Lepisosteus oculatus: one gene and its partners. The protein of the gene in region 4 purifies or fractionates together with the protein of the main gene of each other region. This does not show direct contact. Links are inferred from orthologs where the notes say so. Each region holds a gene or a part of one and is shown on either strand. Other genes may lie near its edges.

Region 1 (7,924 bases), on a different chromosome or scaffold from region 4:
CTTTTAAGATAAAGCCACAAACACCAAATATTAATAGCATACTGAGGTTAACAAGAACAGGAAAACACAAGAATGACTCAGAAAAACCCTCTATGCTCTGTACAATAACAAAATATGACAATTACTGGAGTTCAAAATTATATGGATATTTTTCTAATCCTGCACTCAACTGAAATAATTCTGCAGTTCCCTCTATCTTGAATATTGAAGTAAAGGGGCACTGCTACACCTTCTGACATCTTGGAAAACTGCACTGTATTATGTTAACTACATAATTGATATGTGTCTTAATTATAATCACTTTTATTGCACCTGAAAACAAAGAGTGCCACTCTCCTGAAGGGCAGAAACACTAGAACTACAAATCATGCTGGTCTCTTATCAATGTTTCTTACGTGGACGTTTTAATGAAGATCTAGAACTCTCCCATTCATCACAAAAAACACAAGCCAGCAAAATGTTATGCTTTACCACTTTTTCTAAAGACAGAACACTCATACTACAGTGCATTTCTTTGACGGTTCACGCTAAAATGGCAAAGAAATGGCTCATTTTCATGAAAGCTACCTAATCAAACCTTGTGGTTTTAACCCTAAACTCCAGAAGGACAATTCCCTACAATTGCAATATTAATGCCTAAAGGTTATTGCACTCCTGTGCTTAAACATAAAAGGAGCCCCCTCCTCCACTGCAGAAAAATAATAGGATTGGTACAACCTCCTCTCTCACAGTGGTGAAGCTGCATCACAAGCTGCATACTATTAATCCAAGAGCTGAGAATGTGGGACTCTTATCATATCAGTTAATGGTCCAATCACTGGCTGTGTTGTGTTTCTGTAAAGATGCCCTATGTATTCCATGAGTATTCCAGAAATGTTCAGGGTAGCTGAGACCAGGCCATCCCACCACATCAACTTAAAGCCATTAACCAAGCAACCTCAGCGAAAACAAGAGTTATACAGATGACCAAATCAAAACTGGGACAGATGGCTGCAAGCTGTTGACTACTGGGTAAAAAGATACAGGAAAGCCATTTGGGTAGGATACCTGCACAGCATCAGTTCTTAATCTTGACAGAGGTATTTACCAGGCGATCTACAAACACAGTGACACAAATCGCTTGACAAACTGGTTTCCAACTCCTTGGCACACTGGACACCACCATACTGACCACAAAACCATCTTGGGCTCGTCTGTAAAGGAATACAAACAACTGCTCGTGTTTCATACTCATTTCCCTCCAGTCTCCAACTGCACAGATAGAAGTTCATCTTTACTGCAAGACATTTTGCATCATGTTAAAACCTTCATTTTTTCTCAACATAACTTCAATAGTGGTTTGTGTCACACAATCTTAAATTAAATAAAGCACACCTTAAAATAATTAACTTTATAATAATGTACTTCTAGCTATTACAACCCACATAGTATATGACAGCTAACATTTTAGAGAAAGACATTTAGTCCATTTTGGTAGATTAGGAATCTAGGGAGCTCACAGAACTTTTGTGAATGATCCCAAGAAATCAGTATCAGAAACATGGGTTAGAATATTCCAGAGACCAGCGCCCTTTGGAAATGCTTTCTATTCTCAATCTGAAACACACTTCCGATTGCTCAGCTGCTTTTTTAACCTGAGTTAGCCCATCTAATGGACACACTGTGTCAATACCTTTCAGAATGTTGTAATACTGCACTGTACAGTACATGCAACAAAGTTCCTAGTGATCTCCTCCATAGAAATCTGAATTCAGCTCTTTCCATGGTTTGCGACATCCTCTTTACAACTATCACCAAAACTACAAGATACTCTCAATGAGGACTGACTTGTAATTTGTACGATTTTAACAGCCACGTTAAAAGCAAAAGACATTGTTTTATCCACAAACTCGTTGTACTATCAACACTAAATCGCGTTAAAAATTGAAGCCTTCCCTTGTCTAGCAATATTCCATACTCAATGGGGAATAAAAAGAGATCTTAAACTTCAGTACTCCCCGTTTAATATTTCTTGGGTAATTAAACATGAAGCCAGTCGACAACAAATAAGAAAAAATTAAATCCATGAAGACTATAGTTGCTTCTTTTTAGAAATATGACATTTTGTATAGTAGTAGTGATACACGTACTCCACGTAAACTCCGACATTCATCTAGATTTCGTAATTTACTTTTTGAAAAATGGGTTCGGGTTCTGTTTATTCATTTCTCATGTCTTCGTTTGTCTAAAAACACGACAACAGCCACGTCTGGACAAGGCTGGCCTTCAAACCCGATTATTAAGTTCAAGTCTTTTGATTTACAAAATCAACGCACCATGAAATACCAGCAATCTAGGAAAATACAATGAGTTAACTATAATTTTACTCATCTCAAATGGGTAACAAATTCGCCCTTGCTAACTCAAGAACTTTAGAAATCTGTTCTCTCGTTCTAACTTAATTACGGAAGAAATTAGCGTTCCTAGAAATTTGAGTGACATCGCAACAGGTCAATGGAGTACCGAGACACGAATATAAACATTACTAGAGAACCACTAATAGCCAATGAGTGACCGATGAGGGCGGGCTTTCAGGCATCCAAGTTAGATGGAGCCTCAGAGGCCCGATTCCCCGGAGTGGCGTAAACGTCTTCGCCTTTAAAAAGTAGGAGATACTGGGTTTTGCATTAAACTGGCAGGTGCTCCAACTCGATCCCTTCCCATTCATGTTAATAGTATATCTCAAAATTTAGACGTACAACAAAAGTATATGTAAGCCAAACTGTCAAAGCAGCTATTAGAAAGGGGAGGGGGTATACTTGGCATTATAAAAATTTTAAAATGCGAGACATACCCAGAAATTCTCCACGAAATAGGCCATTGTCATCTTCGTTTTTCTTTTTCTTTGCGGTAACAGGTCTACTTGTTTTTTTTTATTATTTTCGTCTCAGACCGTCGTCCTCCCCCTGTTTCTGTTGTCTCCTGTTTTTTCTTTCTCCCTCCCCACCTTCAGACTCCACCTCCTTCTCCTGCCTAGGCTCACCCCGAGCGAGACGACAAACAGCGCCCCTCCTGGCTGATGCAGTGATTGCACATTCCAGCCAGTCCCCACTCGCAGGGCATCCAGTTCTCAACCCCGCACCATTATGCTATTCACTGTCTTAAGTGGAGTATAAGCTGCCTACAAATGAAAGAAGGCTATTCAGTCATATTGGTTTATTCGGTTTCTAGTAACTTGAATCGAACAAAATCTCCTCTGGCCATTTCTTGAAGGATTCCTGGAAACTGTTTTCAGCAACATGGCTGGACAGCTTGTTCCAAATATTCTGCCCCTAGTAACAGTTTTTTATTTCTTGTTACTTTCCCAATGTAATCAAAAAGGTATAATATTCTGGAGATAGATGAGAGAAACTATCTTTAGCATAATTACCAGTGACATTGTTTTCATATTTATCAAATGAATTATAACAAATCTTTCATACTTCCTACCTATGAAGGACCCATTGAGATTCCTTTGTAGTTATGAAACAATTACTGCATTTATTAAAACATTGCAATATAATATTTTATCATTAATCATAAATACTGCCTTTACATCATGAGCACTGTTCATCCCAAAGAATTTCAACATGCTTTACATATGTAAGGAGACCAAATTCATCCACCACTGAAGTAAAGCATCTATCTGGGTAACACATGGCTGCCATTATGCACCAGCAACCTTGGAATTTAGCCACAGTAACACCCTTGTTTTTTTGAAAACTGCTGGTCACTCTACTGGCACTCTGGGTAGAAGCAATAGCACCACCTAGCGGTCCATCAGAACCCCTTACAGTAGCAACCTGAATATCCTTATAGGTCTCCCATCCCAGTACAGACGATGTCCAGCCTTGCTTATGTAGCAAGTGTAGGTGCACCTCTGTTTAGCAGCACTCCCTAGAGGGAGGCAACAAGACACAGTCTCCTGCCACAGAAGAATCCCACATTGTCAAGATTTGAAGGGGGGCTAATGTCACCTTCCTGGTCAGATTGAGCTCCTGAGATCTGATGATATTCAGCTACAAGGGGGAATTGCTGCTGTTTAGCTACTGTTCAATTATTTAAAAAGCAAGGGAGTCCTGTATGAAAAGATATTTGGAATTTCAAGGAGTGAGGGAAACTCAAAATTGGTTTTACACCAGTCAAATCGTGTACAATCAGTGAATTACTGCATCTAACACTATAGTATCTATATTTATAGCGCTATAGTGACAGCTGGGAAAACCAAAGACCCAGCAAGCAACAGGTGCAGGACAGGCTACACCCTGCACAATAAGCCAGTTTATCACAGGGCACACAGAGACAAAGAAGTCCACACACCTGGGCCAGATTTCCCAGTAACCAGTACGTTTTCTACCGGTAGGTGCCATACCTATCAGTATGTTTTTGGACCGTGGGAGGAAACCGGAGCACCTTAAGGAAACCCACACAAGCACGAGGAGAACATACAAACTCCACACAGATAGCACACCAGGTCCAGACCTGAACCTAGGTCCCCCATCTGTGAGGCAGCAATGCAAACCACTACTCCAATGTGCTGCCCCTTATATTAAAATTATGGCATTTAATTAAATTATTATATTATTTAAAAACAGTTTTCTACAAGCTCAGGTGATAATCTGACTTCATCCACAAGGTCATTTTTACCACCCAATGTAATTTTTTTGAACATTCAGCTTCCTGCCAATGAGATACATTTTGATATATTTAAAAAGTCTTCCAAGAAGCTAAATGCGTTAAATAATTTGTTTCTCATTTCCTGTTGACACCTTATTCACCAGACAGTGTGACAATGTGAGCTATCAGTAGTGCAATCTACATTTGTGTTTTTAATTATGTGTTTTAATTAATTAAGTCCTCTTTCTGAATTAGTAAAAATGCCAACATGCTCCAAATCAACTTTATTAAGAATGTATAAAATGGAAAATAAATTCCTTTAATTAAATTAACATTACATTTTGGGGGGGCCTATAAGAAGTTGGGGCCATACATGGAAAAAGACAGTGCCTGTGTTAGATGTGTTGTATAATACTCTGATTAAATCACATGAAATAAAAGCATAAATGTCAAAAGGAGACACTAATAGGTTGAGGCTTGATCAGATTAAGTAAGTCCCTAATTATAATACATTTCTGTTGCTGCTTGGAGTAGTTAGATCTAAAAGAGCTTGGGAATCTATGGGTGTACTGTGGGGAAAAGCATCTGCTATGCCCATGTGTTTTCTGAACTTGAGCTACTAAACAAAGGGAGGTCCTGCTCAAGGCTGTTGACAGATATTTGGACATATCTGCTGTGTTCAGACACCCATATGTCTGAAACTTAATAAAAAAAACACAAACCAAAATATTATCAAAAACACTAGAGTTTAGCTATTAGTGAATTTTGTTTTTCAAAAAGTAGTATCTGCTTCAGCTAAAATAAGTCGGCTTCATTGAGAGATTCTTCATGTTGATGAACACCACAGCCTAGTATGTAGTAGGTCCAATTTTTCCACATTTCATTTATTTCTATTAAACAAATTGGACAGTGCAAAATATTGACACAAAACAGGAAAATATGGTTGCCATGTTCAGTTTTAAAGTAAGGAAAATTTGGAATTTTCTACGAATGTGTGACCATCTCGCCTGAAGAGAAAGACACAAGAAAAAGAAAAAGAATCTATCCATACGAAAAGGGAATAAACCTTTTTATGTCCAGTGAAAGAAGTATATCCAGCCTCCCAATATAATCTTTATGCATCAAAATCCCATCTCCACACACAACAATACAGACACCAGCTCTGTACTTACAGCTGCATAGGATCAAGTTCAAAAGTAAGTGTCACATAAAACCCAGTCTCCCTGGAAGTAAAGTTTATCATACCATAGAATGTGTTCTGATTACCATTTCTGATTTTAGAGGTTTCCGTTTATATTAAATTTCACTTATCCATTTTCTTAACTGCTTTATCCAATACAGGATCGCAGTGCAGCTGGAGCAAGCAATATCAAAGCAAGCAATGGGCATAATGCAATATACACCTTGGATGGCACACTAGTTAATTGACACAAACATGCACACCAAAGACACACTCCAATTAAGCTACCAGCATGTCTTTGGACTGTGGGAGGAAATTGGAGCAACTGGAAAAAACCCATGCAAACATGGGAAGAACATACAAACTCCACATAAACAGCACCTAGGAATTGAACCCACAATCCCACCATTGTGAGGCAGCTGTGCCACCGTGCCACCCCACATTTTAGATAAATATTCAGATATCCACTTACAGGAATACCGTGAAACTTATACACAGTTGTTTTTCCCCAGAAAATGGCATGTACAAATATTGTAAGAAATATTTGGTCCAATTGAGTAAATATTCACTATACTGTACATGAACGGCACCTACAGCTTGAGGGCTTATACTGAGTCTATGCATATTGACAACATGCGAAACTCCTCCCATCATAGAAAATGGCAATTGGGCAACACTGTAGCCCAATATTTACCTGAGACATTTGAGAGCAGGTTTTGCAACTACTTCCTAATGCACTGAAAATAAAATAAAAGTAGTATCATTCTTTGGACAGTGTTTTCAGCTTGAGCTGTTTCTAGCTCTGCTGCTCACAAAGTCTTGGGATACAGTTTCAGAGTTTCAACAAAATAATTGAAAATTTAGTGCTTAATCTACACAATAGCAGCTCTTTCCAATACAAAAGTATGAAAACTTACTGTATGAAATAATAATGTATTTATTCACCTGTACTGAGAAGTTCAGAGAAGTGAGGTGAAAGAGGGTTTAATGAGTGGTGTTGATTTGTCTAACCTCAGCCCTGTTGCCCTATTCATTTGGGGTCAAAAACCATACAGCAATAGACTTATTTGTACTTTTCACCACACACAAGCCTGAAGTGGATTGTTGCTTTCCAAATTCTTCTAAATAATTCTAGTTAAGAATTGTTTTGTTTTAAAAAAAAACAAATAACTGTGAAAATATTTGTCATTGCAAACGAATTAACATCACACTATATTGCAGTAGCCACAGGATCCCTTACATTGCCCTTAATTTACACCAAATCTGCTGAACTTCATCTTTGGGGTCTCCTGGGTAAGGCAAAACACGAATTATCAAAGTTTATATCAGATACATCATTCATTTAGAATTAATATTGCAGACTGCACTAACACTTTGGTTGTAAAAATAACAAAGTGATACAGTTAAGGAGTAACCCAATGAACAGACCAATTCTGATGAGATCTGATAACGTTAATAACGTTACTGTACCAGGAATGTGTCAGTCAACGTGGGTTATATTTGAACCCAAGGTTGTGTGCTTGTAAATTAAAGACAGTAAAATGTGTTTAAAGAATGCAGAATACAAACAGCAATTTCGATTTAAAAACAAAGAGCAGCGATAACTAAACATTAATGTCGTAAACAGAGATAAGGTACGTGGGGTGCTAAAAAGCTCAAAGCTCAGTAAAAACACTTTCCGCAAGATTGGTGACAGTTAAAACAAAAACCAGAAAGCTATACAATAATATTCAGTATTTCGTACGTCTAGAACTGGGCTAAATGCATACCTACTTAAAAGGGTCGGATGCTTGTAAGAAAAGACGGGTAGAAACCAAATACACAGTTCGAACAAGAATCATTTATTACTTTTTCAGTACGTCGATTATTAAAATTTAAAATGGGCTATGTAATAGTACCATATAGAGTCTTAATTCCACTTCCAATTCGTCGTGAAATAAAGCAAATCTCTGAAATCGGGATTGAGGCATCATTTCCACATTTGTTTAGTGCCATCTAGTGTCATAGTTAGGATATGGTATTGTTTTTTTTTTCTAAAAGTAACGGAAAAGAGAAGTTAAAATGATCTATTTAGTAAAAATATACAGTTTATGTTATTGTATTGTTAGC
Region 2 (7,520 bases), on a different chromosome or scaffold from region 4:
GGCCCCAGTCAAAGTCTAGACTTCAATCCTATAGCACATCTGTGAGAAGAACTGCTGTCAAGCTGAAGAGCTTGATCAAGTTTGCAAAGACGACTGGGTGCAACTGCACCATCCTGGAGAGAAGACTTTGTAGAGACACATTCAAAAAGAGCTGCAGCTGGGACTGCTGCCCAAGATTCAGTCACAAGGGTGAATACTTGCAATCAACATATTGTAGGTTGGGGTCTTTCTCTACTATTTTGCTTCTTTTATCCATAAAACCCCCAAGAGAATATGAGCAAGAGTTTCAACAAGCCTTCACAAAACACAGAGTAGGGGATCTTTAAAGTTAAGCAGTATATGGTAGCTTAACAATATGCTTATTTTTGAAAAGACATCTGTTAATTAGAAAAGCATGCATAGCACTACCAAAGCAGGAGTGAAGCTGACACTCTGCTTCTCTATCATGCTATACTGCTGCATGCAGGGCGGCACTGCACTCACATTATTTGGAGGAGATTATAAATTCTGATCTGCAAGATTGCTTCCCTTTGCTGGCAAAGAGGCTCTTTACTTCTCAGCACTTAGTTTTATCAAGAATCTTTTTCTCAGATTGGTGAAAGACAGCAGACACTTGCTCAACTGGCAAGACTAGGCCACAGCAGTGACGTGCTTACTCTCCTTGGTGCGGGATGTGATTGGTCGCAGACCAGTCTGCAAAGGTGGTAGGGGTGATATCTGATACAGCAAGGCCCTCCTAAGCGGATCTCTGCCTGTGTGATCTTACAGTAATTTGTCTAAGAGCAACAACATTTGTAAAGGAGACAACACAGCAGCTCACAACAAGCCTGCAATGTGCAGGCCAGAGGGAGAGTCAGGTCATTACGGCTGCCATGGCCTGGCCAGTCATCACATACTGTATGAACATTAATAATTACACATGAGCTGTTCTCAGTTGTTTCCTGGTAAATCCACTCATGGGATGTCTTGGTACAGTTCCAGTAACAGCAATGGGCTGCAATTCTCTCAGTGAGTAGGCACGTTGCCTCCTGTAGTCTCTCTATGTACAGTATGCTAGTACATTTAAAAAATATTACAAAGACTATACTGTACATACACATGACAGGAAAATACAGCATCAGAACAATGATTATGTTGGGTGTCAAGTTATTAACGACATTTTTTGTCTACTGAACAGAAAACCAGCTCATTAAAATATAAAGGAAACGTAAAAGAAAAACTGGTAATACATGACAGCGATAGTAAGGCCTCCAGTATGGTAGTTCTGTACTTAAAGTCAGAGTTGTACACAGGTGCCATAGACTGTAATCCAAATTAAACTGAAGGTGCTTAATTGACACCAGCCACCATTAGCCTTGTTCTAAATAATGTATGTGTAGCCTCGTGTCCATCTGGCAAAGCTATTTAAACCTATTTAAACCTTCCCTACGAAGCTGCCGAGTGTGCAAACTGCCAGCTGGAAGCATGAGGAACATTCCACATACACTGTAATACAAAGATCAATTGAGAGTATTGTTCTTATAATATTCACTGTTAAAATTCAGTCCTGAGCTTTGCTTTTAATTTTTTTTAAAGTGCAATTATAATTTACTACATGCAGGGTCTGCTGGGTATGGGGTGGAGGCACAGTCATTCTGATGTCTGTCTGAAAACTAGAGTTGTGACCACAATGGAGCCAAAAAAAGCTGCAAAATGCATTTTGGGGAAAAATAATTCCTTTGAGCATCCTTCAGAAGTGTATCAATGAAAGGTCACAGATGGAGGTTAAAGAAGACCCGAAGGCAAGAGAAACCAGCTGAATATACAGATTAAACAGTCAGTCACATCTTTGTGTGCCTATATACAGTATAGAAGTATACATCCTGTACACGAACTGTTATAAAATCTCCATACACACATTTATAATTAATCTGAATCAGTTTCTACACTTGTTGAAGGTAGTTGATTTTGGGGGGTTTTGTTAATTCTTGTAAAGCACAGACAAATCATACAATTATTTTTAAATAATATATTTATATGATATTATATTTTAATAATTATTTAACAAAAGTTATTAGATAGATAATACTTTAGTAATCCCATAGGATTGATGAATTATTGTTATGTTATTATTGATGTTATTATTGTATTTTTGTGTCAGTTATTCATATTTCAAGGGACTTTTAGATAACATTAAAGTAATACACTTGTAATCTTACCAATACAAGGACTGTGCACTCCAGATGTTCACAATAAGATATATTCATTAAATTGAATGTTACATTGTTGGAAAATACCTATGAAAGACGATTACTTAGAACCTTGATGGTTTCCACAAACTGTGTTTTGACTCTGTTTACAGCCTTAGGCAAAGTAATAAAGATTTATAACATCTGAAAATGATAATAAAGATTATTTGCGCAATTTCGTTATTGGTTTCGTGTTTTTAGTGAAATACATTACTATTCCAGAACATCTCTACAGCTCTGGAATGATTTTACTAAACATAAAAAAAATGTTGTTAAATCTGTTAAAGAGTAAACTTTTGAGAAACGTTTTTTAAATCCCCGCACCAGCTAACACACAGAAGAAAATCTAATGGAACTACATGTCTCTGAAAACCATTATACAACTTCACCAATCACTGATAACTTTGTGTGCAATAATATGATAAAAACTACTTTATAAACTTGATAAACTAAAATGTTTACTGCGGATTTCAGTTAGAAAACTGAAAAATAATTGAACACATATGTTACAGAGTGGGAAGGGTGACTAACTGGGAAAAGTTGACTTCCAGACGTTCACTTGAATACTGTACAGAGGATTCAAATTAACAGTTCAATGTATAGATGGTCTGTTGATTCGTTTTCGTTTTCAAACTTACCTTGAAGGACGAAGTTACAAAAGAGCCTTGCTTGTCTTTCCCCGAAAATCTGTCCAATTCTATCACCGTTTTCTTACAATCCAAGTTCGGGACCAGGGAGAAACTGAGACTGACTTGTCAAACTTTCTCTGCTTATAACAGTCTTCATTGGGGTTTAAAAAAAAAAAGTTTTGTAGTCACCTGATTCCTGACGTAATGTAGACCTCCTAACAAATTAACAGGATCACGGATAACTTTTGGGGGGGCAGACTCCAACCATACAGAGTAGAGATTCCTACATTTTATTTTCAATGACAAAATGACTAATATTGAAATTCAAAAGTTTATAAGTTTAGAGGACAGCAGCTACCTGTACGTGAAAATAAATGACCAAATATATGTCAGATATGAGCTTTTTTTTTTAGCAAACTCGTTTTGCAATGCGTTTTAAGGATGCAAACAGAAAAAAACACAGATTATGACTAATGATTTCTTCGGATCATATACCATTTTAGTTCCATTTGATTGCCTGTGTAAGAATCAATTTCAAATGTTTAACTTTGCATTTTTCATAAAGAAGTTTAGTTCCACTAAACACAACTAAAAAGAAATAACCCCGGCCCGTATAAATGTCTCATATAAAACTTCCGTCGGTGATCAGCGCATTACTTTAATAAAAACTACACAATTGCATGTATTCAATAATTATTCAATGAAACTCCACTTTGCGTTGAAGTGGTTTTACTGTGAAATTTGATTATATTTATTACATTTTTGAAGACAATATAGAGTTTAATCCACATATATAGATTTATATTAGGCTATATGAGGTTGTGGCATGCCATATGCAGAGAGTGGTGCATTATATCAATTAAGACAAGATCATTTGAACATGAGAACAGAATCATATGACGCAAATCTAACGTGGGTTTCTGCATTGCGCTCCAACCGTCATATTGCTGTGACCATAGCGCCCTCTCCTGCACACTGCATAAAATAAGGTCAAAGAAAGAAATTATTTTCAGTGTCCTTTGTAATGAAAGGTACTGTACGCGCATCTTGACACTTTGTATTAATTAACAGATGATTTGGTTTTTCCGATAAATGAAAAATCTGCAGATTCCAGTATTTACAACTGGAATTCATCTTATTTTCTCAGTGTCCTCAAGCTGACATACTGTACCACACAGTAGCTTCCTTATCTGTGATTGGATTCTAGAGTAGAAAGAAGCTCATACCATGTACTGTACCTTGGAATTTCATTTTAAATTCATGAGCTAAGATAAACAATCAAAATAGTTTGAGCGGACTTTTAATTATTCCAGCAAACATAATCCAAGAAAAACTGATTTACCATAACCATCACACTAAATGGAGAAATCAGGTTTTCCTCTACTCTGACAAGGCACGCTCCAACAGTAGTACTAAGGTGATTAGTGCCTGATTATAGATGGAAAGTGGACTAGAAACAGGCATTATGTGTACAGAAAGCAGTAATGTGCCATGATATGATGTAATGTGATTTTGGAAAGATGCTGAACTCTCTTTTCAAGCGTGACTGTGACTGCTGGTGCTGCAGTGTGCTGGAGCACATATTTCAGGGAAGGGCCTTCACTTCCTCCAGAACTGGCATGATGTTTCTGCAGATGCCACTCTGCGAACAGGAGAGCTGAGATCAGAACTTCTGCTACCGACACTGAGACACATCATAGGTATGTGTGGAGAAAGGATGCACAAAAACCTTGAAACCAAGTTAAGGACACAGAAGACTAGAGAAAAGACAAACATAAAAATGAAAGTTTTGTGATCAGTGTGTACTGTACAAGTTGGAGTCTCTGGGAAAATCTCCTTCTTTCTGTAGGATGGATTCAGAAAATAACATTTCTGCTTTTGAGTTCAGTAGCTACAGTACTAAGGTACAGTATTCAATCAGACCATAGACTGTGCTGTACACAACTGAGGGCATTTTGTGTAAGAACTGGAGGGTCAAACATGACAGTGTTGTGTTGCCATAAGGGAAAAGAATACAAACAGCAAGACTATTCTTACATTTGCCATCCATCCATTTTCTAACCACTTCTTCAAATACAGGGTCACAGAAGAGCTGGAGCCTGTCCCAGCAAGCAACTGGCACAAGGCAGGACACACCCTGGATGATATGCAAGTCCTTCGCAGGGCACAGTCACGGACACAAACACACACACTCACAACAGGCCACAATTAACCCAACAGGATGTCAGAGCACATTTATCCCAGCTATGAATTATCAAGGTGCTCATGTAGCAGAGCTAGTTCGGACACGGTGACATCATCGCCCTCCCTGCGCGTAGCGGGGATCTCAGCTGCCTGGGCTGGGGGAGGTGTCCTCTAGCTCACTCGGCTGGTTCCCTGTTGTGGTACACTGGAGACCTAGGTTCATGCCCCAGGTGTAGCGGGATGAAATTGTTAGTGGAGGACATGAGCCTGCATGGAACTGGCACACAACTTAAAAGGAGTTTTATAGTATTTAGAAACATTTGATTTTTTGTAACTCTTCCTAGAATTGCTGCTTTCAAGTTCTGGACCAGGGAGAGCAGTGCCACCTGCTAGTCCACCAACAGCACAGCCACAACCAAGCTCCTTCTAAAGGTCTCCCAGCCCCGGCACTGGCCAGCCTCTGAAGTCAGGCTAGAAGACGGTAACACTGCTGAAGTAGTCAAACAGCAATCTAAAATGTGGTGCAGAAAACCATGTGTATGTTAAAAACGGTGTTGTAAGGCATGAACAAGGTTCTGTGAATTTATATGAAATGTATGGATTTTATGAGGGTGTAACAACATTATATTTGTCTTAGGTACTGGAGCAGGTTTTAGCAATAAAAACGGCAAGGACAAGGAATTTCAATTCCTTATTTCGCACACAGCGCATCCAGGATACCAGTTTCAACTCATCTGCCCACAAAACAGCATCAAGATGGAACATTCAAAACTGGCTAAATAATAAGAGTGCCATGCAGATGCTTGATTTTTATCACAGGTAGAAGGTAGAAGGTAGAAAATGTGTCTTTTCAAGTAGTAAATTACCCTTTCTTGTATCCTAATTATTTAGGCAGATCTCGAATAACAGGTTTAAAATCACAGGTTTGTGTCTTTTAGATAAAGGTAAAGAAATTAGATTATCACTTTCTAAATAATCTAGCAATATTTTGAATTTATTTTTAGATACACATACAGTATAGTTCAGAGCTTTGTGAATTGTTAGCTGAATTTATCAGTGTTAATTCAACACTATAATCTTTATATTTCAAACATACATAGAGTAGTAGTTCAGGTGGGTAGCTGTGTCAGCATGCAAAGGCTGAAAAGGAACAAGTAATTGTTTTACTTGTTTATTATGTGTTTTTTTATAAAAGGTTTATTCCATGCTGAAAAGAGAAGAAAGAAAACACAACGTTTCGGCCGTGGAGCCTTCTTAAGGTGTGAGGTGAGTCTTCAGGTGTGACCCTCAACGTTGTGTTTTCTTTCTTCTCTTTTCAGCATGGAATAAACCTATTACTTGTTACCATACACAGAGTAGGTACTGTATAACACAAAGCATATTCAATACATTTATTGACATTGTTAGGCTAAATATAAAACCTCATTCTTACATAATGTATTTGTTGGTGAAATGCAGTAGTTGATCTACTTTTCACTCAATAAATATTCGTCGTCTTTCATGCTTTGAATGCTTCCTTCAGTGCTGTGCTTTGTACTCTGAGCTTCACCACACCAAGGAGGTTGTGGGTCAGCTTCCCTCTTCATTTTACACTCCTCCTCACTTATGCTTCTTGTCATCTCACTCTCCAGCTTGTCTTCATTCTGCTCAATCTTTAAATTAGTCTTGTTCTGTAGCACACTATGCTTATCACTGAAAGTCTCACAATCCAGAGGTGCTTTAAAACCAGAAGAAACCACCTCAGAAGTCAGGGGAATCTTTAAGCCACCAATCTGCTGCTGATACTGCTTGTTTACAGCATAACTAATCTTGCGTCCACAGAGGTAAAAGATCTCAATGACATTCAGAAGCAGAGATATACACGCTACCACAAGCATGAACAAAATGAAAATAGTCTTCTCGGTCGGCCGGGACATATAACATTCGACTTTGAAGGGGCAAGGGCTCCTGTTACATACAAACACGGGGTCCAGAACAAACCCATACAGATAATACTGGCCTACAATGAAGCCCACTTCAAAGAGAATTTTAAAGATCACATTTATTAAATAACTGCATAGTAAATTGCCTTGGATTCTAACTTTCCCATCAGCATCTGTATATTTTGGGATCTTACTGATTTTTTTCATAAGCAGATTGCCATCTTGTTCTTCTTTCAGCTTGCGTTGCCTCAGCTTCTCTTCCTTGTGGATAACATGCAAGACGTGTCCCAGGTACACTAGGGTTGGGGTGGACACAAAGATGATCTGCAGAACCCAGAAGCGAATGTGGGAGATTGGGAAGGCCTTATCGTAGCACACATTCTCACACCCAGGCTGCTGTGTGTTGCACAAGAAATCTGACTGCTCGTCACCCCAGACCTTTTCTGCTCCAGCTCCCAGTACCAGAATCCTGAAGACAAACAGGACAGTCAGCCAAATCTTCCCAACCACAGTTGAATGGGATTGGACTTTATCCAGCAGTCTTCCCAGGAATGTCC
Region 3 (7,983 bases), on a different chromosome or scaffold from region 4:
AAAGTGTGAACACCTTAGTGCCACTGGAGTCTTACCTTGTAAAAGTTAAACACCAGGTCTAACTCACAGACATTGTGGAAATACTCATTCAGAACCTACAAAAATAAAGACATAAAACATTTCATGATGAGAAATTAGACTTTGTGTATTTGACAGCATAAATTTGACTTTTATCATCTAAAATGTAAATTTGATTTTTGAACGTTAAACCCAACCTGCTGTAGTTCACTTAGAACTGAAAGATCCATCCGGCCCCTCTTTGTGGGTTCCGGGCCCCCTGCCCCGTCAGTCCATCCCAACGCAGAACCCCGCCTGCGTCTGTTCCTTACTGCTGCCCCGAGCCCAGCTGGGACGTCCCGCGGCGCAGAGCCCCTCTTACCTCCACGAAGTTGTGAATGGCCTCCAGGTAGGCCAGGTTGTTGTCCGTCACGTCCACACAGATGCAGAAGTACAGGCCAGCGTAACGTCGGTAGATGATCTTGAAATTCCTGAACTGCACAGAGAGGAAGAGGGGTCACTCACTGAGAGGCAGCTGTGCTGCTGTCACACGCCTGGACTCTAGGGGGCAGTGAGGGGCAGGGAGGGAAGGAATCTCTCCTTTCAGAGACCGGGGCTGTCCCTCCTCTGGGGAGAGCTCCCGTCAGAGCTCCTCAGGCGGCTCCCAGTGCCGTCACCAGGCCACGGAGCTCAAAAGCAGGATGGGAAGTGGGAGGTGGGATGGGGGAGTTACAGTAAGCCAGTGGAGGCGTGGGCGTGCAGCAGGGCTGGTGCTCTGCCCCCCCCGAGCCGCACCTCCACGAAGTTGGTGTGCTTGGCGTCCCGCACGGTCACCACGGCGTGCACCTCCTCGATCAGCTTCTGCTTCTCGTCGTCGTCAAACTGCATGTACCACTTGGCCAGGCGGGTCTTCCCTGCTCGGTTCTGGATCAGGATGAATCGGATCTGTGGAAGAGGAGGGCAGGGCTGAGAGGCGGAGCAGCTCGTGGGCGCTGTCTCCAGGCTCCGTCGCTCTGAATTCTGCACACGCTGCAGCCTGAACTAGACAGACGCCTACGAGTTCGACACTTCAAGGAATCAGACCGCCGACAGTCTCACCTCTGACATCAAACGCCTGCTTAACGCACAGGCCTGGTCAGAGGAACACCAGAGAGCTTCGAGGGAAATGAGGAAGAGTCCCATTGCAGGCTCCTGGCGAATTACACTGCTGGAATTTAAAATGCTGTTTCGACTGAAGAGCCCGTTCCTGGAAACACATTCAGCCCAGAGAGCTGCAACGCACAGCAGCAGGCGAAGGGCTACAGGTCTGCAGCTGGTGCAACGGGACGCAAATGAAACAGCTAAAACAACAGGAGCTGCCAGAAGAGCAGCAAAAACTGAGAAAAACAGCTCACAAAGCTGAAATTCCAAATTTTCATCGTTAAACGTGTTTTAAAAAAGCTATTCCTCTGAGCAGTTCAGATGACAAGTCAGAGCAGTGTTTTACCAGTATGTTCCTGTCGAACCCTGCACCTGCAGCGTGAGCCGGGGGGGGCTCTGGACAACACCAGGCTGAGGCTGCCGGATCAGAGCAGCAGAACCTGCCTGCCCCGGCGCCGGCCCGGTGGGTCTAGAGGGATCAGAGAGCTCCGATCTGAACCGCGCGCCACGGCGCCCCACAGCAGGGCGGAGGGAAGTGCTGGGTTACACCCCCTGCAATTTCCTGGAATGTGAGGGACTCAGCGAAAACAGGGAGGGTCTGATAAGGGACTGAGGAAAGACTGCTGTACAGCATCGAGAGCCCCGTCAGAGACAGCACAGGGTCAGAGCGGCTCCGTCTCTCGGCCCCGCTGTCTGGACGGAGTCTTACACCAACGGCTCGATTCCACACACTGCAGTCCGATGAGAATAACCCCAGCGTCCTGGACACATTCCCCCCTGGCCTTTACCAGTCATGGCCTCCCAATAACCCCCTCTCTGAACTGGTTTCATCACTCTGCTCTCCTCCCCACTGAGAGCTGGTGTGTGGGGAGCGTACTGGCGCATCACCCAGGTGGGGCTGCACACTGGTGGGGGTGGAGGGGGTCCCCATGACCTGTAAAGAGCTTTCAGTGGAGTGTCCAGAAAAGTGCTATGTAATAATAAATAATACAGTCTGATTAAATATGCTTCGATTATTTATACCAGATAATGTATTTGTTTTTTAAAATGACCTTTTTCCGGGCTCTTTAGAAACTCTCCTGTGTGTCGATGCCAATAGATTTGACACTCGACGGGACAGAACGTACCGAAATCCGCACAGGGACACTGAACGCGTCTTCGATTTAGAGCAAAATTACAGCAGTCGAAAGGATGACCTTTGAAACTTGGTCACTTGGCGCAGGTTCTGAAAGAGGATTGTTTCTGGTGAGGAGGAGCGGGCATCGCAAGCGACAGCTCGACACTGCGGACAGCTCAGAAACCGGTGGTCAGGACTCGGGATCAGGACAGTAAACGGATTCAACTGTCGCAGCAGTAGGAATTAATGTGTGACAAACATATACCCCCACGAAGATCAATCAATCCGCCTGTAATGAATACCAGAGTAAAGGTAGAGATCAGTAGCAGTTAGCGCCCAGAGCGACCAGACCGCCCCGACAGATTCTCGCAACCTGGGAATACGCTTCATCGGCGATCATTGTCAAACGCCCCATAGGAAAGGCACATCTGTCGTCTCAGTCCAGTAGAGGACGTTTTGGGTGTAATTACACGCTCAAGATCTGGTTAAAACCGTATAAACGCCCAATGGGCCTCCATTCATTTCTTATCGAGTCCTGACTTCGGCCGAACGGAGTCGCAGATAAAATAAAAGACTTGCTTACCATTTTATTTCCAAGTATCAGGTTTCTCAAATGAACAGAATTATGCGATCGGGGGTGATCTAATCATAAGTTTGACTAAATGTTGTTTTTCGTCTGTTATGATAAGACCTTCCCTTCTGCTCTCCGCTATCACCGCTAGGCAGGAAGTCCAGGAAAGGCCTTGAGCTCGGTGCCTTACGGGTATTGTAGTTCAAGCCGCCCCCACCCTAGTCACGAACGGCCGCTTGAAAAAGGAACGGATGACTACAACTACCAGAAGACACTACGATCTTAATGGTGTCGTGGGAAATGATGTTTTTAGACGCAGGTCGCCCCTGGGGACAGCGTTGTGACAATATCACGTGAAATTTTAGCTGAAGTCAGCTTAGGCGTTTTTAGTGGATGTGAGAAAGCGGACATCAGATATGAACAGCTGAATTCAAGTCATTTTCTTAAAAATTCGTAAATTTTCTTATTTAAAATTTCTTGCGCGTCCTGTGATCCACATGAGTACGCAAAATATCGATAAGATCTGACGAATTTTGAGCAAAATATTTTAGTGGGGTTGCAGTTCTTTGATTTTCTTCCGCGGTATATAACGTAATACCTCAAAGTAACAGCGGCGCCCTCGCAAGTCGCGTCTTGAACCATTTGCTGTTCAGGCGGTATTATTGCACAGATGAACACGGGCAGACTCGGAGGCGAGGACTCGAAGGAGGGGGTAGGTATTGATCCGAGGGTACAGGGCAGGTCTCTGCGCGGGTCATCGCTGCACCGCGGATGCCGTGGGAGTGACGGCACGTGACTGTGGATGCTATCCCACGAAGTCCCAGAAAATCGCCCTCGAGCCACCCCGAGCCCGCTGAGGCGCACGAGGCACGGAAGATACCAAAAACACGAGCTTTATTTCTCTGCAAAGAAACCGATAAATAACTGGCTGAAATACAGCAGTACGACCGTTAAATGGAGATGTTGTTGTTTTTACAGTGGCATGGGTGATTTGATAATGTGTTTTGTATTACCCACTCGAAGCAGTGAAATCAGTAGACGTTTGGAATGAAAGAGAAACCTGCTTATCTCCCCGTGGGTACAGAAAACTATAAGGAGATGTAACACTTGTACATATGTGTAGTTTCCGTATGTATGAATACAGTCATATATGTGTGCACACACTAATAGACACTCATTTATATATTAAGGAGTATGAAGTTAGCCTGTCCACCTCGGAGCAGTCGGGCACACACAGTACATCCCCGCGACAGCAGAGGGCGGTAACGGGGCGGCGCATTCTTCGGGTATAAAACATGGGCAGGGATGATGTTCGACCCCCTGGAGAGGAGCATTTCGAAACAGCGCTTCCTTAAGCAGCAGATTTCGCAGCCAAGCTGCAGTTCCTTCGCAAATCACCCCTAATGGCTACATGGACACACAGTTTTCACTGTATTCATCATACTGCACTACTTGGACATAATGTATTGCACACACCCTGGACACACCGCAGCTCTATTTATATTGAGCTCTGTCTGAGTTTATTTTATTCAATTTCTATTGCACTATTATGTATTATTATGTCACCTTATTTGTAGCTTTAATGGTGTGATTTTTATCCCCCCAGTGAGCTCGTAGAAAAGACATTTCATTGCCAGCAACTACTGCTGTACGCTGTATTGTTGTGCATTTGTTAATAAACTTTGACTTTGAAACTTTGACTTTGACTGTGTTCAGGCAGTTCACAGTTCTCAGAATCCTGAAAGGCAGGAACAGAACCGCTGAGCTGACTGCCTCAGTCTCGGCATCAAGACTAGGACCTGGGACAGCAGGCGGCACTCAGGGCTGAGAAACAGCTGACAGTCCTTTACACCAAGAGTCACAGGGGTCTGGACAGAAAGCAGACGAGTCAGCTGGAGCAGAATCTCTGTGATCCCTTCAGAAATAACAGGATGAGCCTGTCGGATCGAGTAAGCTGCTAATAACCCCACAGGCACAAAAGAATAGTTAACCCCAAAAAGAGGAGCCAATCTGGCCCATCTAGCCCATGTAGTCCCACTTCAGTATTTATTCATAAGATCTTCCTGCTCAGTCTTTCTCATTTTGTATTTATATTCTTTTACTACCTGCAAGCAAAACCCTGCAGCCTGTCTTAAACTTCATCTCCAGCTGCTTGCCCAGTACTGAGTTTTACCTAAGCCTTTTGGAATTTCATTTGCTGTCTCTCTGTGTCAGGCCTTTTATTTTGATGTTGTCTGCAAACCTGACTATTTTAAAAACTATACCTGAGTATTGGGCAGGCATTGTTATCAATTCATAGTGGATGGGCTCCTCTACTCCGTAGCTTTGCTCCTGCTCGGAAGCGGTTCAGATGTCATACACCTCCAGATCCGAGTCGTCCAGAGGCAGAGCTGCCCAAGCGGTTGGCCACTGGGAGAAAGGGTTGGGCCGGAGAGGTGCCCTCTCTGCTGTACTGGGAGCTTGTTCTGCAAAATTGTTTGAATTCAGTGAAGCGTCAGTGCCAGTTCAGGACTTTCTTAAGACCCCAGGAAAGCAAATCCTGTCCTATTTAGGACTGACTCTTCTGATACACAGAGCGGATATGAAGTCTTTTACCCAATGGGCTTGTGGGGTCGAGTGGCCTCTTGTCATTGGTATGTTTGTCAGTGCGCTGGCCTCGGGAGCGCCTCTGTGCCTGGCCTCTTCTTGCCCTGTGAACTGCGCTGGCTCGGCTGTCCTGTGAAGGAGTCCTCCTCCTGGAGCTGATCGCAGAGTTTCTAAAAGCTGTCTGAAGACCCACAGAAAAAAAACCTGCCAGAATTTGGGAGTCCTTGCAGGTTCCTGAAGAATCCGGCGTGGAACATCCTGAAGGATAGCTTTGACAGGAAACAACATGCAGGATTTCTGCTTGTGTCCTGCAAAAGTTTTTGTGGTGTGAGTTGGAAGGAATTGCTGACAGTTTTAAACTAGACTACGTAGGAAGCAGCCTGGGTGACAAATGGTTTTGAAACTGATGAAACGCAGATTTGAAATCGCGTCCTCGCGAGCTCAGGTTCAGAACACATGCACAGAGGGAGCAGAGTAAATTATACTGGAAGAAAATGGAGTGCATTTGTTCAGACAATTTCATTGTCATTCTAACCTCAGGAATTTCGCAAGACACAGCTGTAATGGTGTTGGCCCTGGAATTGTTTACTGGTCATCAGGATACAGACCCAGCACTGAGCATAACCTAAACAACCCTAATTACTCCTCTGAGCCTGTGGGGCGGCCACATCGCGTGGCACTGCGTCACGGCCGGGAGGACGCTTTGCAGTCTGGGACCCAGCGGGACGGAGAAGAGGGTTCCTGCAGGAGGGGTGGTGGGGGCTGGACTGGGGGGCTGTTCCACGTGCCAGTAAATTTCACCCCGCATTTCTGAAGGTGGAGAGGTGAGGCTGCTTAGAGTGTTGAAGCAGAAAGGGCACTCACACAGCGCGCTTGCTCTGACTCTCTCAGCAAGGGTAAATTGAAAGTCCTGCCATTTCAAAATGAGCACCTTCCTCAAGTGGCATGTTTCACTTTTCCCATAGTGCTTCAGGAGTCAATAGCAGCCTTCTGCATCACTTCCTCAGGCATGGCGTTAGCACACTGACAATCGCAGCACACCACCCCAGCACACTGACAAACTAACCACACCACCCGAGCGCACACAATCACACCACACCACCCAGCACACTGACAACAACACCACACCACCCCAGCACACTGACAACCACACCACACCACCCCAGCACACTGACAAACTAACCACACCACCCCAGCGCACACAATCACACAACACCACCCCAGCACACTGACAACAACACCACACCACCCCAGCACACTGACAATAACACCACACCACACCACCCCAGCACTCACAATCACACCACACCACCCCAGCACACTGACAAACTAACCACACCACACCAGCGCACACAATCACACCACACCACCCCAGCACACACAATCACACCACACCACACCACCCCAGCACACTGACAATCACACCACCCCACACCACATCACCCCAGCACTCACAACCATACCACACAACCCCAGCACACACAATCACACCACACCACACCACCCCAGCACACTGTCAACCACACCACACCACCCCAGCGCACACAATCACACTACACCACCCCAGCGCACACAATCACACCACACAGCCTACAATCACACCATAAACTCCCCCGAATACTGCAGGATATAGGGACATACTCCTGAAATTGCAGGTGCAGTTAGGCACCTATAGTACCTGACTCTAAAGAGTCTGTGTGGCCCTGGTTCCAGCCGCAGACCCCGAGATCGACTGAGATGAGCTCTGTCCTCGCTTCCTTAGGAGCTTAAAAACAGCAGCTCATTTTTACTGTGTTGGTGACAGGAAGCAATCAGAGGATGTCACCCAGCTCTCTGTTCACATGCACACGACCTGAGACTCGAAACAGGCAATTTCTCCTGGGCGACAAAGGTCAGGGCTTTTTAATCCTTCTTACGTTTATATAGTGCTTTTCTCCGCAGGCATTCCTGAAGCCCTCAACCCCCCCGTAGGAGACACGCAGCAGGTCAGGGGAGGAGGGAGAAACCTTCCGTGAGAATCGGGAGGGGCGCTTTAGGAAGGTCAGAGAGCTCAAGCCCAGAGTGGGGGATAGGCAGGACACTTGTTACGAGCCATGCCCAGGATCATCAATAACCACCTCGCCTGAAGAACAGCACCTGCAACAGCACAGTGGCCTGGTGCGGAAGGCAGCGCCACCTACAGGGCTACCAGCGCCACTGACAGCAGCCACCTGGCTCTCCTCAGGGGTCTCCCCTCCCAGTACTGCACCAGCCTTGCTCAGCTTCGGAGAGCAGGGTACTCACTGGTCATGCTGTTTTTTTTAAAGAAAAAAGCTACAGAGAGAGTGCTTCAATTTTATTAATTTTTTAATTTAATTTAAATGAAAGCCCATATGTCTTACAAGGAGGTCTGTAGTCCTCTTTGGTATTGGCACCAAGGGTAGAACAGAAGAGCTATACCCTTTCCATTCTATATCCATTACAGAAACAAAAGTTTTACTTCTTAGGATATGTAGGAAAATTGGAAGGGGTGGGGTGATGGGGTCAGAAAAAGAGCATGAGCGATGAAAATAAAAAAACTGGGGAAATTAAC
Region 4 (7,842 bases):
ACATTCTCCTCAGAATAACATCTGCCATCCAATAACCCATGCCTTGGTGAACCCAAACTAAAATGTCTTGCTCCTGCAACTCCTGTTTTGCTGTGACACTATATTGGCCGACCCCCCCATCCTATTTGCAGTTGAATTGTTCCAATAATTACAGTACTGCAAGACCCATTTTTAATAGTGGATGATTCTCTCATCTGAATTTGCAGGGAACTGCCAAAACCAATAGGGGAAATTAGCAGACAGATAACATTGGCAGACGATGACATGAAATATGTATGAAAAGCCAAATGGCCTGGTAAAAGCTTTTTCTGGGCAGTGCAAAAATAAATGAGCTCAGATTCAAACATAAACTTTAATGGAAAGAGACTGCACACTACGTAATCCAAAGCAATCTAGGTAGATCCATTGCACAATCAGAAACAAACAGGAAACAGAAAGGTTGTGTGATATATCTTAACCTACCCACTTTACTCTGTGACAAACAAATGAAGCGATGCTCTAAACATAAATTACTACGAATAACTTCACAATAATGTCCGTTAAGACCTGACCTGTCACTCACTTCACATTTTCAAATTATCATCAAAAAGAAATGCACCAGCATTAAAATCCCCTAAGTACGGCAACACCTTTCTGCGATAACTGAGTTAGGCCATGCTGAAAAGAGAAGAAAGTTAACAACGTGTCAGCCGTGGAGCCTTCTTTGAGTGTGAAGGCTCCACAGCCGAAACGTTGCGTTTCCTTTCTTCTCTTTTCAGCATGGAATAAAACTTTAACCTGTTCCTTTGCAGCCTATGCACGCTAACGCAGTTACCTACTTGAACTATAATGGAGTTAATTATACCTGTCTCTTTATTAAAGGCGATGTTAGTACAGAGCAGGAGATTTTCTTCTGTTCGTACTCCTATAATTAGCTGTCATCCACATTAGGTTACAGTGAAGTCAGGATCTTAACGTGACCTTGGTGCTTCCCTTCCTTTGGGCACTTTAACTCTGGCCTTGCTGTTGATGCCAGAAGCAAAAACACTTCCCTCAAACGATCAGCCAGTTTCAAGCGGTAGTTTGACGACTGTCCAGAGTGAAACAGTCAGGACACTCTATAGGGCTCATCAAGTGGGCACCTCCTTTCACCATTCCCTTCACACCCTCTGGGAAGGCGAGTTATAAAGAGAACTATATAGCACCAGCCTCTCATCTTCACCCGTCTGGCCTCCAGGACTCTGACAACCGTCAGGTGAGCGTACCGACCTCCCGAATCTTACAATGAACCCCCAACCTCAAAACGCTACAATACTGGGGCTGGGCAAATGTAAATGATGAACTTGTAGAGAAGAAATCAATACAACTTCATTTTTAATTAATCAGCCAAAATGTTAATTTGTAAATGCCTTACAACTAGGCCAATACACAGGACGGCCTATGCTTGCATAGGCACTTCACCACGGGAAGTTTTAAGAATAATCTAAGATCACTCATCAGTCACTCCCAGATCTCCCAATACCTGTTGGCCAGACTGCCATTGTAATGACAAGTTCTTCTTTGGCAACACTATACAGGAAGAGCCAATCGAAGTCTGTGTTTAGTCTGGGCCCTAAATAACTGAATCCAAGTAGCTCTAATAACTACAGCTGTCTTAAAGCTAGTTTTGCAGACGCAAAAATAACCTTTCCTTTCTGTGCTTCCTATAGAAAACAGCATGAGCTCTATGGAGCATTCCAGCTAAAAGGTGTGTTCTCATAGACTGAAATACAACTTAAAAATGTTTCGGGACTTTACCCATGCATAATGTGTTGTTTCAACTTTAAAATATAAAACAGATTTTGCGCTCGTCTAGCTGCATAGATTTCATTTCGTTTTAAAACTAAATTGCAGCGCTGCGAGACAACCCTACACTAACTTTGCAAAACGGTTACAAGCGTAACAAGTATTTAGAAAAACACATGCTCATTCCTTACTGTAATTTAATCATTACTGACGTAAAAGGCGCTGTTAAAATCATGCATCAAGATGCTCCGACTGGAAGTGTAAAAGACGGATATACCGCAGTATCGTACTAACAGACAAACTGCCTATGACACCCAGGCCGGCAGGAGAATAAAAACACGGATGAAGGCGTTGGTTAACACTGGATTGTCAATCGAGCAGCTAAGTCTGATGAACAGTGTTTAAAATTCGCGAGATAACAGCAGAAGCATAAGAGGCAGCTCAAGATAAGAGGACAGAGAATATGAGCAACGAAATGGTTATGACAACAGACTTACACTACAGCAGATCACTACAGAAAGACATGATATAGTGCTTAACTCAACTAGGCACGTTACAACGAATGCCTGTACTTCCAAAATTTATAAACGTGCTTTGCATATACTTTTTTCGAAAGACAGCTGCAATTAATAGTCAGTAAATGACTCACTATAAACGTCGAAAGTCTTATTTGCTTCGCAAACTGACGGGCAAAATCCAGTTATTATTTTCCAGCACGTAATACATGTGTGTTCGATTTCTTCCCAAACTCAAACTTTCGATGTACTGCACACTACAGCAGCGGGTAATCCATTTTATCTCGCCACCCAACAGATATCTTGACACTACAAAACTAAGCAGCAAAACACGTTGGAAACAAAGCGATCAACATCGCGTCTTGGGAATAACGTGTTTAGCTGATGTAACAGAGTACTAGTTTAAAATATTTAAAAAACAAAAGCCCCACCCCCAAATTGACACAAACTACGCCCTTACGCAGTCCCCAAAGAGATTAAAAACAGAAACTTTTTCCCCAATTCACAAACTTCTAGAAAATCACACAAACATGTGTGTAGCCTCCTTTTCACAGCCCTGCTCTAACTTCCTCATCGCCCCACACAGTCCAACGTCTAAAACATGCAGCTGAAGGAATGTTAATCGCGGTAATTCTGTTGAAAAGGCAGAGTTACCTGAGTCAGAGAGAGACTGGCAGCCATAATGTTTCTCTTCCCATTAGCCCATCCTGCGTTGCACTGGGCAATATAGGGGAGGCGAGGAAACCAGGAACAGGAGCCCCGATCGAACTGGATGCGGCTGTCTGCAAAACGTGGCACTGGCGTGACAAACCAGCTCGGCTCCGGAGGAGTTTTGCAAACTACTGTATTTTAACTTTGTTAAAGGCGGTGATTCGGGTTGGCAGCACACTGTCTTGTTTTGTGTCCGTATGCAGTTGGAGCATCACTGTATTAGGCAACGAAGGACAAACGTTTAACCCATTTGTAAATATTAAATACAAAAAACAAAAAAACAAGTTTAAAAATATGCCAAGTGATAATCTGTTGTACCCATTCATACTTGTCGAAGTATCCCGTTCTGTAAACTAATCAACCTAAGCTTGTTTTTTTTCATACATTCACATTTATCGGAACACATGTTTCTGTTATACAGGACTGGTTTAAAAATAGTTCAAATTACGAGTTCTTGTACTCTCACAATTTCATTAGAAAGGGGTCACGGTAAATTAAGAGTAGAAGAACACTTTGAAAACAAAAAAAATCATGAGAGTCTTTATAAACATATCTTTAAAAGAAAAACGTGTTTGTTACATAAAGATAATATGAATTATCCAGCTAAGCTTCACACCCCACTTCAACAAATGACACTAAATATTAGCAAGTAAACAGCGTATCTAACAATTCCAATAGGGGGAGCTGTTACATAAATTATCCATCTGGTTCAGAAGTTTTTCATTGCCTGATGGTTTTAACCAAATTATATTTATGCTAATTTAAACACGTCTCGACTTTTAACAACAGTTAGCCTGAGTGAGTTACTTCGCTCAGTGACAGTAAGGTGAGGAAATTAGATTTTGCAGGGGACGTGACTGAATTTATTAGTGGATTGGATTTAGAGGCGAATTGCTGATTGCCCTAAACATTTTTTTCTTAATCTATTTTGAAGTTGTGCATCTCGGTATTTTTTGTCATTGCAATAGAGTATTATGTCATTTATGTACTGTTTTAATCTTTTAAATTTCAGACAGCGCATTAGCCGAGTGGTTTCTTTCACGGACACTAAAACACCGCTAAGAAAATAAAGTGCAAACGTTTCCCAGATAAATCCAAAACAATCTAACTTGTTAAGATGGCGTGGTCCCTTTTTCCGTTTTCTTCCACAACCGATATCCCTTTTGTATGTGGATCTGAGAATTTGCACAAATTGAACAGCGTAAGTTTATTGTAATAAACCTTGTTTTCCCTAAATCATCTACTTGTGCAAGTGATAGTGCTCTTTTGAAAGGATCCGGTGGCCGCAGAAACTAAACTATGCCTACCGTTCTCTTTCAGAACCACCTGTCTATAAAAGGTCATTCAAGTGTATTAACATAGAAAGTCTATGACTTCCCCAAAATATATGACTATTTTTAGGAACGAAGAACCACACTAGAATTCTTGTCATTCTGTACCGGTTGCACCCGTTCAATTGTTTTGAATTTATCTAGGAAAACATTTGCAGTTTATTCCCTGGCTGCCGAAATGAGGCTTTTCACTCATTTCATTTTCATTTTCTTACACTTGCCTCTCGCCACGAGACTCAGTTGTAGCCCTGCCGCAGTACTTTTCGCCTTTCACTCGCTTAAGTGACTGGGATAAATAGGCTTGCCCGAGGGACAGACATAAACAGCTCTCGACATTTTCCTAAAGTACTTTAAAGCATTAGGATCACAAAATGCAAAAGCGTTAACGCGAGAACACCAAAAAACATATCCACTGTGGACTGCGGTGCCTATGCAAATGCATAAGCGGAAACTCTGCTTTACATATTAGTTCATGAGCCTGTCTCTAAATCTGTCATTTTGTTCCATTCATTCAATTGGTAATCATTCTACCTGATACTATAATGGCATTTGGAACCTGAATCAGTTTTAAAAGGCTCATCATCTGTTTGAAGGAGTCATTTGCTGTCCCTTAGGTATGGTTTCTTGAAGCCCTCTTCACCAGTGGTCCCCCAGCCTGGTCCTGAGAAACATTGCTGGTTTTCATTGTAGTACCAGTTGATGACATCATTAGCTTGTTTGTTTAACCTGATTGTTCAGCCAGTCTTAAGTGTAACAAAATACAACTTCAAGGGTACTGAGGACATAAACCCTTAACTCGCCCCTGGTTACAGAGGCCACAGGCCTAACCTCAGCATTGCCCCTAGTTAATTCAAACAGTGCTGAAAATTCATCCATTTTCCATCAACTTCCAGGGCACACCCTGGATGAGACACACAGGTTATAACACAGACACAAATATGCACACACTCACAGCAGGGCCAGTTTTCACAGAAGCCAGTTAATCTACCAGCATGGCTTTGGACGGTGGGAGGTAACCAGTGTCCCGGGAGGAAACCCTCCCAAACGCAGTAAGAACATATGAACTCCACCCAGATCATATCACAGTTTCTCGAATTAAACCCAGGGCCCCAGCACTGGTAACCACTTTAACGCCTTACTGCCCCTCTCCTCCATTTGCTTGCTGGTATTTCTGACTGAACAGCCATGACTTGTAGATCAGTGGATGAAGAACACAGGGTCGAATGAGTTTTCTTCTTTCTGCACAGCTCTAGTTACATTTCAGGTGCCTACTCCGAACGAGTAGTTCTCAACTCCGATTGCGTTCGGTTCTGAAACTCAGAAATTGAAGCTGATGGTACCAAATACAAATTCCATTTGACCTCCCAAGAGCCGAAAAGCAGATGTACAAATATGGCCCAAACAGAAAATTGAAATAATTAAAATTGGTAAATTTAAATGCAGATAGCCTGTCATTCAGAACTTGGCGGGAGCAAAAACCAGGAGAGGCCCTCTTCCTCTAGGAACAGGTCTGGGATTCACTACTCTACACTATAGCAATCCCTTTCTGGCTCCAGATCCGTCTGGATCCACCTAGGTGGGGGATGCCCACCTCTGGTCCTCAAGGTCAATGATAAGATTCAACTGTAGAGTTTAATTAGGTCATTAAGGGCTCTGGTAACAGCTAAAATTGTCTCTTCAGGACTCGAGTCCTGCACACCTGGTCCATCTTTAAGGACTGAACTGCAGGACAAGGTTGGAATCTTCACTCAACACAGTACCAACTTCCACCACATTCAAAACTGGATTTGAGCGCTTTATGCTTTATTGTCCAATATGCATGGCAGCTCATGCCAGCAAGTTTTTGGTATTCAACTTCTATTCCCAGCAGACCCATTCAGTATCACCAATTTACTGATCATTTAAGTCCAGGCTATCACCATTTAAGACTGCTAGAAAACAAAAGATCCATGAATTGTCTTGTTACACATACCTGACAATGTTGTGCATTTACTGTACTCCCATCATCCTTCATTTTCTCAAGTCTAATGGTTTAGTTCTTGACATTCTGAGGAGCAGGTCAAGTTTTAACCAGAACACCCTGATATTTCAAGGGAAAGAACAGAGACTCTTTTAAATTAGTTTATTACTGTACAGGAACTCACATAACCAGATCTTCGGCAGGACAATCTTCTTACTCCATCCCCTTCCCCCTCCCCCCCAAAACCCCATAAACAAATACAAAAAATATAAAAAAGGAACATAAACCAAAACCGGTCACCGGTCAGGTAAGTTTCAGATTGAATGTACAGCAGTGCAATTCACATTATTTCCAATTCGATGCTAATAAAGATTCTAAAACGGGACAAACTAACATTCACTCTGCATGATTTAAACCACTCTGGTTCGGCTTACCGGTCTTTTTGTAATATGGGCAGTTCCTAAGGGCAAGGCAGGGCACTGGGGCTGTTGAACAACACATACCAGCACTCTCAAACAATTCAGATTTTCTCCATGTTCCTACAATGAACTGAAGGAACTGGATGGATTTTAAAAGCACAGTCCCTTCACCAGTAGTTACAGATGGGATATCCTAAAATCCTTGTTAAAAACAAGGGAGATGGGAAATACAGAACAAATGTATTTCACAGGAATGTGGGGGAAATAGCGTTTTTTCACTTTTTTTTTATAAGTAAATGAAGACTTTGCAACAGAAATTGTAAACCCCATTTCACAAACGAAACAGAAGAAATGAAATGGTGCTCTTAAAACAGGAGACAAATCTACAGCAGGTGACGATTAGAGCCACAGACCTGAAACAGCATGTCAGATGTCCTTTGAACAGAAATAAAAATAACTACCAGTGTTTGATAAATGTGCTAAATAATTCAAGGATGGTTATCACCTGGCTTTGGTAACAGGGAAAAAAAGCTGCCCCAAAATTCAAACATGTTATTTAACCCAGAAAAGCCTGTTATAGTCTGTTTTTATAAGCCTATAAAACTGGTGTTCTAAATAATTCTGCAGAATGTAAAACACTATACTGTTGCATATGAACAAACACCATATTTTTTACAAGGGATCTATTTGTTTGGTAATTTCAACTCTTTCAAATGAGGCCAAGGATACTAGTTTAGAAACTGTGACCACATGGATTTATTTGACAGGGGCCTCAACATTGACAGAGGTGCAAAATGAGCCCATTAGGAATAGCAGCACAGGTTTACAAAGGACGGCGCACAACATTCACTGGAAATGCAGCAAGACTAATGAAGACAAGGGGGCTTTACAAAGAAAAACAAAATGATGAAATGTCTTCTCAAAGAGTCTTAACAAAAAAAAGGTGCAGCATTTTGAAATTCTACTGAAACAAACCAGATACTGAGATACAGTATGTGATCTATCTATAGAAAGTGGATCCATTACATTTGACTTGTCACATTAAAGCACACAATGGGTTTCTGAAAAGAATGGCCCTTACAGGACACCATAACTTAAAAAAAGTTTACATTAACAACTAGTCTAAAAACAAAAAAACAAAG

The links.
Region 1: the proteins of eps15 (region 4) and fcho2 purify together in Homo sapiens (affinity purification with mass spectrometry; 3 studies listed by BioGRID and IntAct, with this or other methods). This does not show direct contact. The link is inferred for Lepisosteus oculatus from reciprocal best matches to the Homo sapiens genes EPS15 and FCHO2.
Region 2: the proteins of eps15 (region 4) and gja1b purify together in Homo sapiens (affinity purification with western blotting; 3 studies listed by BioGRID). This does not show direct contact. The link is inferred for Lepisosteus oculatus from reciprocal best matches to the Homo sapiens genes EPS15 and GJA1.
Region 3: the proteins of eps15 (region 4) and ap2s1 purify together in Homo sapiens (affinity purification with mass spectrometry; 5 studies listed by BioGRID and IntAct, counting the BioPlex papers as one, with this or other methods). This does not show direct contact. The link is inferred for Lepisosteus oculatus from reciprocal best matches to the Homo sapiens genes EPS15 and AP2S1.

What each region holds. Positions count from the first base shown.
Region 1 is NC_090698.1:24,444,271-24,452,194, reverse strand, and holds the start of fcho2 (F-BAR domain only protein 2), read right to left. Parts: upstream 3,018-7,924; 5' UTR 2,867-3,017; coding exon 2,834-2,866; intron 1,143-2,833; exon of another isoform or gene 1,048-1,142; intron 1-1,047. UniProt on the Homo sapiens protein: Functions in an early step of clathrin-mediated endocytosis. Has both a membrane binding/bending activity and the ability to recruit proteins essential to the formation of functional clathrin-coated pits.
Region 2 is NC_090697.1:1,441,015-1,448,534, reverse strand, and holds the start of gja1b (gap junction alpha-1 protein), read right to left. Parts: upstream 3,007-7,520; 5' UTR 2,867-3,006; intron 1-2,866. Other genes in the region: gap junction Cx32.2 protein-like, read right to left, coding at 6,508-7,520. UniProt on the Homo sapiens protein: Gap junction protein that acts as a regulator of bladder capacity. A gap junction consists of a cluster of closely packed pairs of transmembrane channels, the connexons, through which materials of low MW diffuse from one cell to a neighboring cell.
Region 3 is NC_090698.1:783,590-791,572, reverse strand, and holds the start of ap2s1 (AP-2 complex subunit sigma), read right to left. Parts: upstream 3,007-7,983; 5' UTR 2,841-3,006; coding exon 2,838-2,840; intron 943-2,837; coding exon 793-942; intron 494-792; coding exon 380-493; intron 135-379; exon of another isoform or gene 96-134; coding exon 36-95; exon of another isoform or gene 1-35. UniProt on the Homo sapiens protein: Component of the adaptor protein complex 2 (AP-2). Adaptor protein complexes function in protein transport via transport vesicles in different membrane traffic pathways.
Region 4 is NC_090704.1:27,626,763-27,634,604, forward strand, and holds the start of eps15 (epidermal growth factor receptor substrate 15), read right to left. Parts: upstream 3,006-7,842; 5' UTR 2,961-3,005; coding exon 2,934-2,960; intron 1-2,933. UniProt on the Homo sapiens protein: Involved in cell growth regulation. May be involved in the regulation of mitogenic signals and control of cell proliferation. Involved in the internalization of ligand-inducible receptors of the receptor tyrosine kinase (RTK) type, in particular EGFR.